2 linked regions of the Cricetulus griseus genome follow. The protein of the gene in region 1 purifies or fractionates together with the protein of each later gene. This does not show direct contact. Links are inferred from orthologs where the notes say so. Each region holds a gene or a part of one and is shown in the gene's direction. Other genes may lie near its edges.

Evidence for each region. The genes of interacting proteins can lie anywhere in the genome.
Region 2: the proteins of Get3 (region 1) and Ubl4a purify together in Homo sapiens (affinity purification with mass spectrometry; 4 studies listed by BioGRID and IntAct, with this or other methods). This does not show direct contact. The link is inferred for Cricetulus griseus from reciprocal best matches to the Homo sapiens genes GET3 and UBL4A.

The regions. Positions count from the first base shown.
Region 1 is NC_048596.1:159,342,156-159,346,240, forward strand, and holds the start of Get3 (ATPase GET3), read left to right. Parts: upstream 1-1,285; 5' UTR 1,286-1,311; coding exon 1,312-1,472; intron 1,473-2,208; coding exon 2,209-2,356; intron 2,357-4,085.
Region 2 is NC_048604.1:1,347,720-1,351,684, forward strand, and holds the start of Ubl4a (ubiquitin-like protein 4A), read left to right. Parts: upstream 1-1,165; 5' UTR 1,166-1,279; coding exon 1,280-1,327; intron 1,328-1,487; coding exon 1,488-1,593; intron 1,594-1,843; coding exon 1,844-2,052; intron 2,053-2,168; coding exon 2,169-2,243; coding exon of another isoform or gene 2,244-2,279; exon of another isoform or gene 2,280-2,915; coding exon 2,916-3,032; 3' UTR 3,033-3,965. Other genes in the region: Slc10a3 (P3 protein), read left to right, coding at 1-319. UniProt on the Homo sapiens protein: As part of a cytosolic protein quality control complex, the BAG6/BAT3 complex, maintains misfolded and hydrophobic patches-containing proteins in a soluble state and participates in their proper delivery to the endoplasmic reticulum or alternatively can promote their sorting to the proteasome where they undergo degradation.

The DNA.
Region 1 (4,085 bases):
TGGGCGGGACTTGGGCGGGGCAAAGGTGCTCTGACCTGGCGACCAGTGGGTGGAGCCTAGAAGCCGGGTTCCTTGCCTTCTGTTCCTCGGATTTCCCTAATCCTGCCAGACAGAATGGAACCATCGTCTGGGGCCCGCGATCCCTCTAAAGGCTGAGAGCACAATCATAGTCGGCCACCAGAACTCTGTAATTGAAAGAATGTTGTTTGCGTACACTTGGGAACTTGGGTGGCCCCTAACTAGGTCTAGAAAGCATATCTGTCTGACTCGGCACCTCCTATTAGAAACGGGAGCTTCTCTAGACCGGGCATCTGCCTCGGCATTTAATCTCTTACCTTTAAGTAAGGATACTGCTGGCTGCGTGCAGCTAGACGCCCTGTCTGAGAGTCGTAGTATTTTACAAGTTGAGCACTCAAATGAAGCCGGAGATATTTCCAGCCTGATCCTTCTCTTAAGACTTAATGTTCTGAGCTGGGTTCTGCACCAAGGGACTAAGAACCCTCCTCGTACTCTTCCCCGAGGACAGGGACTCAGTTCAGACAGCACTGGCTAGACTTGGAGCACACACGTGTGCACGGGGATGGGGGTGAGCAGAGCGCCAAGCGCAGCTAGAGTTTCGGAAGTTAAAGTTCTCTCGACTGTGACAAATAGCACTCCTGCCCAGCATGGGTATTCCGGGCACACGGGACAAAGGTCTGCGTGCTCTGCCACAAATGGAGTCTCTTTGCCTTTTAGCGACCCTACTAACCATTTCGTTCGTGATCGTTTTGCGGCCGGAGTCAGGTGGCTCACAGCCAACAGAGTAACTGGCGGACAAGAAGAGACGTTGAGGTCCAAAGCAGAAAGAAAGAGGGAAAAGATAATCAGGAAACGGAGCCTATAGAATCGAGGCAAGAGACACCTCTGCTGTAACTTCGTTCAAAGAGCTTAGACAGGATGTTTGGCTGGTTGCTAAGGAGACAGAGGTTGACGCCCACAGGGACTTGAGCGTGGCTAGCGGAAGTAAGACGGGATGCAGCCAATGGAAAGAGTGCCGCAAGACGGAGGACCCAATCAGTGAAGGGCACTACCGTGGGTCACACCACTACGCTCACAAGGCAGGGGAATTCTTAGAAAACTGCAGGCGAAAGTTCACCAAGGGGAACCTTCGACGCATAAAACGGGAAAATACAGCGTCCATTGTCCCCAAGTGTCAACTCAGGAGGAAAATAAGTCAGACTTCCAGCCTGCACAGGGATGTGGCAGACTCATTTCCCCTGTAGTTGCTTAGGACGTGGTGCGTTCCGCTTGATCACGTGAGCCGGCTCCAAGATGGCGGCGGGGGTGGCCGGGTGGGGGGTTGAGGCAGAGGAGTTCGAGGATGCTCCTGACGTGGAGCCGCTGGAACCCACGCTTAGCAATATCATCGAGCAGCGCAGCCTTAAGTGGATCTTCGTCGGGGGCAAGGGTGGCGTGGGTAAGACCACCTGCAGGTAAGGAGGCTCTGGTGGGGCCAGGAAGGCGGGTGGGATGTACCACCGGACGAAGGGGAGGACAGGGACCGGCCTTTTCATCCCAAGCGGGGCAAAGCGAGCTGAGCGGGGCTCTTCGGGGTTGTACTCTCGGGAAGTTACGGCAGCTTGCCGAAGATACCTCCTAAATGCAAGCCTGGCGTTCTGGGTTGGATTATCCCTCGTTGGGCCTTGTGAATCCAGCGCGTGGGGTGTGCAGAGGAGCATTTAAATACCGCAATCGGATGGACAGTCCCCCCAGGAAGTTCAGAGTAGAGGCAGGGACACCAGTGGAAGCTGTTATAGTATGACGAACCTTCCATTTGATGCCCAGCGCGGGAAGGAGTAAAAGGCACATAATTACAGTCCATTGAGAGGTGAAGTACATTGTTGTCCCTGAGCAAGTGGAGTGAGTGAAGTAGAGCAGTCTGTGCTGGCTGTGCAGCTGGACTGTGCCACTGTATGCCAAAAAGGCAGAAGCAGGCACTCAAACAAGCCGAACCAATCAACTGAAAACTGCACACCAGTCCAGTCCAAATGGAAGGGTCAGGTGGTGATCTCTGCGGGTATCAAAGCATGATCTCAATGGGACCGGTACTTTGCTTTTAAGGTCTGCCTGATCCAGGTCTCTGTGGCCCGACCTTGCATTTCCTGTTATAAACCCACACTACCAAAGCTGGCTCCTCACTTCTTGTCTTCCCACCTTTCTTCTGTGCAGCTGCAGCCTAGCGGTCCAGCTGTCTAAAGGACGTGAGAGTGTTCTAATCATTTCCACAGACCCAGCCCACAACATCTCAGATGCTTTTGATCAGAAGTTCTCCAAGGTGCCTACCAAGGTCAAAGGCTATGACAACCTCTTTGCTATGGTAAGCTAGCTGGGGGCCTCTCAGGCTGAGGTTCCCCCCCCCCTTTTTTTTTTTTTGGTTTTGTTTTAATGACAGGTGCATGCCTTATACCCATGCAGGCCAGAAAAGGGTATCAAATCCCCTAATACTGGAGTCGCAGATGGTTATGAGCCACCATCTGGGTGCTGGGAATTGAGCCCAGGCCCTCAGGAAAGGCAGCCAGTGCTCTTAACCAGTGAGCTCCAACCATAAAGTCTTCTGGGGGCATACCTACCAGCAGCCACCAGGCCATTCATAGTCTACATATTCATCTCTTTGGTGTGTCCCTGTCCCCATCCCCCCAGAGGGACATGTGGGAAGGAAACCTTTAAGGAACAGGAAGAAAGATGACAAAATGGAACTAAGCAAGCAAAGGGAGGGAATGAAAAGGAGGAAGACCAACCAGAGGTAAACACTGTGAGGTTTTGCTGGCTGAGCAAGTAGTTTGGCTTTGAGTCAAAGTTTGATAGAAAGCTTTTTTTTTTTTTTTTTTTTTTTAAGAAAGCTATTCTTTGCCAGGCATTGGTGGCGTACACCTTTAATCCCAGCACTCGGGAGGCAGAGGCAGGTGGATCTCTGTGAATTTGAGGCCAGCCTGGTCTCTGGAGCGAGTACCAGGATAGGCTCCAAAGCTACACAGAGAAACCCTGTCTTGAAAAAAAAAGAAAGAAAGAAAGCTATTCTTTTAAAGATTAACTTTATTTTTAATTATATATACAGGGGCCAGAGATATCAGGACTCCCTTGAGCTGAAGTTACAGGCAATTGTGAACTCCCACCCCTATGTAATTGGGGGTCCTCTGGAGGAGCAGTACACATTCTTAACTGCTGAACCATCTCTCTAGCCCCATACTCATGTTTTTGTTGTTGTTATTATTGTGTTGTTGGCAGCGGTGCTGCTGCTGCTGCTGCTTAAGATGAAGCTCAGGGCATCCAGTATGCTAGGCCAGTGCTTAACTGCATCCCCAGCTCTCAAGTTCATAAACTAAAAGAGCTGGACATGGTGGCACATACCTTTCATCCCAGCACTAGAAAAGTAGAGGCAGATAGATCACTGAATCTGAGGCCAGCAGGGCCTGTCATAGGAAGAGCCTGTCTTTAAAAATATAGTAGTACCTGGCCGTGGTAGCTCATGCCTTTAATCCCAGCACTTGGGAGACAGAATCAGCCTGGTCTATAGATAGAGTTCCAGGGCAGCCTCCAAAGCCACAGAGAAACCCTGTCTCGAAAAACCAAAAAAAAGAAAAGAAATCCGTGTCTGGCTGTCATATGGAAACTGGATTGCAAGTCAAGGATGATGTCAGGAAGAGTAACAAGAAAGCTGGGGATTTACTTAGGTCATATCTGAATTTTGTCCATCTGTTTCAATCTCTGTGTGTGTGTGTGTGTGTGTGTGTGTGTGTGTGTGTCTGTGTGTCTGTGTCTGTGTGTCTGTGTCTGTGTGTCTGTGTGTCTGTGTGTGTGTGTAGCATATGCATATATCCATGCCCATGTGCCACTGTAAAGGTCAGAGGACATCTCCATATATTGGTGTTTGCTCTTCCACCACCTTGTTTGAGACTCCCTTGTTTACTGCTGTATACACTAGGCTAGATGACCTGAGAGTTTCCAGGAGTTCTCCACCTCTTATCTCAACAGAGCAGCCTGGGAGTATAGGGTCATTACAGTGTCCACCTTTACATGGGTTCTGGAGATCCAAATTTTGGTCTCCA
Region 2 (3,965 bases), on another chromosome or scaffold:
CATGGGGGTCTTCATCTTAGTGGGAGTCAGGTTACCCATCGTACTGGTGGGCTTCACAGTGCCCCTGGTTGGCCTTTTGGTGGGCTACAGCCTAGCCATGTGCCTGAAGCTGCCAGTGGCCCAGCGGCGGACAGTCAGCATTGAGGTAGGGGTACAAAACAGCTTGCTAGCTTTAGCTATGCTGCAGCTGTCTCTGCGTCGCCTTCAAGCAGACTATGCCTCTCAGGCCCCCTTCATTGTGGCACTGAGTGGTACCTCCGAGATGCTGGCTTTGGTTATTGGCCAGTTCATCTACAGCAACTTGTTTCCTGTTCCATGAGGACCCTGGATCAAGTTTTATAACCCCAGCCCCCATACTCCATCCACTGTCCCCACAGTTCTGTACCAAAGGCCTTTTGTTCTCATGCACTATGCACTCAGACAAATCCAGGCTTTTTTTTTCCAGCTTTCAGTGCCAAAGAGGCCATGCTGAGTTAGAAATATATTTCAATAAAAGACAAAAGCAAGCTTGGGTCCCTTCCAGTCTTTGTCCCTTGGAGTGTATGGATGGGGATAGGAAGAGTGTGTCTGGGTTGATATGGACCAGGATGGTGAACAGGCTTGGTGACCGTGCACAGAGCCCACTCTCTCCTTCCTCTGTGCTTTGCACATGGTAGACAAGTGTTGTACCTTTGAGCTATATCTCCAGATCTGCAAAGGCTTTTCTCTATCAGAACAGGGCAGGACTCTGTTCTATAATGAGTGAAGAGATAGAGGCCTAGGTCCACTACTTTGGAGCCTCGGCCAGGATATTTTTGCAACCAGACTAGAAAGGAAGAAGTAGAAAGCCATTGGGCTATGGCAGGTAGGACTGGACCATTTCTGTATCTGAGAGACACTACTACATGTTTGCCCTGATGTGGTCCACCAGCAGGGTAGGAATTAACAGGTCAGGCCTTGCATGAGGCTGACATTCTGGTCCTTCCTTTCAAGCCACAGCTCCCCGGTGAAGCAAGCCTGACCCTACAGATTCCTCGCTCCTATCCCAGTGGGCGGAATGGCCCCACTTCCCTGCACCAAAGCCGCTGGAGGCTTGTGGGCCCAGGGCGGTGGACGCTACCCCAGGCTCAGGCAGGCGCAAAGGCCTGGAGGCGGGACCGGGCGGGAGCCACGCGGCGGGCTCGCCCCTTTCACGGCTTCCGGCGGCGGCGGGCGGTTCCGGCGCGCGCCCGGGGCAGCGGCGCGCGGCAGGGGACCATTGGGGTTTACATTGGTCCTAGTGGACGCGGCTGTGGGCATCATGCAGCTGACCGTGAAGGCGCTCCAGGGCCGGGAGTGCAGCCTACAGGTAAGGTTACCCTGCAGGCTGCTACACTCACACACTCCTGCCGCTGGGGCCAATGGCGGGCGGGGGAGGCCAGGAGAGCTAACCTCAGGAGGGGGCACTAGGGCTGCATCGCCCAGGGAATTCGGACTAAGCCCTTGCCTCTCCACCTCGGCCGGATCAGGTGCCGGAGGACGAGCTAGTGTCTACACTGAAGCATCTGGTCTCGGATAAGCTGAACGTCCCTGTGCGCCAGCAACGTCTGCTGTTCAAGGGCAAGGCCCTAACAGGTAACCAGGGAAAGGAGCCATCCAGGGACCCCCCACAGGAAGTAGGAAGTTGGAAGTTGGGGGACGGGATGTACAGGCCAGTGTAATGGATTAGAGCAGTGGCTGCCACTAAACCTTGGAAAAGTAGCTGAGACGCCACCACCCCATAGCCAGATGCTGCAGTGTTTCACTCTAGCTGTCCATGGCAGGATTGCTCTCTGGCCACCCCCACAACAATGAGGAAGGAACCCCACCAATCTCTCTTTGGCAGATGAGAAACGACTGTCAGATTACAACATTGGGCCCAATTCTAAACTCAACCTAGTCGTTAAACCTTTGGAGAAGGTGCTGCTGGAAGAAGGGTCTGCCCACAGACTGGTCGACTCCCCACCCCCACCCCTCTGGCAGCTGATCTCCAAAGTCCTGGCCCGTCACTTCAGTGTAGCAGATACCAGCAGGGTCCTGGAACAACTACAGAGGGTGAGCAGAATAATTCTGGACCTCCAATCTTAATGTTTCTAGCCCCAGCCCCCACCTATTACAGCATACCCCTTCCTGCTTGCACCCCCTGAACCCACCTGGTCTTCTCTTCTCAGGATTATGACAGATCTCTGAGCCGCCTAACACTGGATGACATTGAACGTTTGGCCAGCCGCTTTCTACACCCTGAAGTAACTGAGTCTATGGAAAAAGGGTTCTCCAAATAGCATTTCTGGGAGTGGGGGGAGAAATCCCAGGTCAGGCCACAGCTGCATGTTGCATTAAATGTGTTCTCATGTCGCAGTTTGGCTCATAGTGATAATAATAGCTGGTATGTACCCAGTTCTTGCTAGGTGCTAAGCACTACTCAAAGTACTTGGCCTGAATTCTCTTCTGCCTTCCACAGGACAGTTGAGGCTGCACTGTAGAAACACCTAGCAATGGCTTGGGACAGCCAGAATCCAAGTCTAGCCAGCTGTAGAAGTGCCTCTGTAGGAGAAAGAGTGTGTTGTTTTGAGGGATGGGCCTTAACATTCCCATTTAGCCCACTCAACATACACACTCAAGTGACTCCCTCAGGAAGCCACTAGTCCCTGTCACCTGTCCTCTAGTATGTCTGGCATACCCTTGGCAAATCTCCATAGGAAGCCAAGTGGTAGCCATCCAGAGTCCCTCTGCTGCTGCAGCCAGTGTGCTCTTGATGAATGACAAAGTCAGGGGCTGGAGGATCAGAAAGATACCCTAGCTCCGTTGTATGGCTTAAGTCAAGTTTCTGTGCCACTTAGGTCCCCTACCATTGAGTCTGTTAGTGGTGACCACTCCTCTGACCTGAATAAGTTTCCTTCCCTCTTTCCCGGCTCAAGGTGGGAGTCTGCTATCACCAACTGCAGTGCCATCTTGTGTTCAGTAAGCAAACTGAAGCCAAAAGTGAAGTGGTAGCCAAGCATGGGCCACAGATGGAATATCCTGGGCCTTTGTGACATAGCTCTTCTTGGGGGGACCCTATCTGCTTGGCTCCTCCTGGAAGTCGGTCTCATCCATGAGGGACAGCAGGTGACTCCACAAAGCAGTGTCACAACTAGGATTCTTCCTGGGTCTCCTCACCCAGCGTTCTCCCACAGCATGAGACGGATGCTTCCTCTGCCACCTGTGTACAGGGACTTTCAGTTTGCACACCTTCATTGCTTAAGAAGAAACTCAGGGTGCTGAGGAGGAGATAGAAATGTAAGCTGAAGACAGTGGTTCTTCTTTTCACTGAACCTATGCCTGGGTGCTAAAGGTCATGTAAGTACTAGCTCCTTTGAGGAGGACCCCCTGGGAGCAGTTGAGGCTGGAAGATAGCCACCTGCAGGACATTACTCCTGCCCCTCCACTCTTGCCAAGGAAGCAACTCTGAATGTTGTTGGGACTACACTGGCCTTTCTTGCCCAACGGCCTCCTGCATGGGCTTTGGGCCTTGTGGGACAAATCTTGACTCCCCATAATGGAATGATAAACTAAAGTGAGGCCTGAGGGGATGAGCAGCTGGTAGACCCTGCTCCTCCCTGAGACCTGGGGTACCACATCAGGGACCTGCTTGTGAGCACATATGTGGACTGGCAGCTCAGATAATAAGCTTACCAATGTCCTTGTTCACTTTGAGTCAGGGAATGTATTTGGAAAATTAAATAACACTTAAGGTGCATGTGAGACTTTTTACCAAGACGAACTCTATTAATAAACTAGTCTGCTTTTGGTTTCAAATAATTGGTTTAACAACACAGGAAACTTACTGGCTTACAAAAGTGAAAAAGCCCAGGAGTACTGGCAGTTGATGAACAATTTCACCAAACATCCAGCTTTTTTCCTGCCTCCCTCTGAATTCTCCAGCATCTGCTTCATCCTCACCACTACTTCCAAGGATCAAAGGGTGG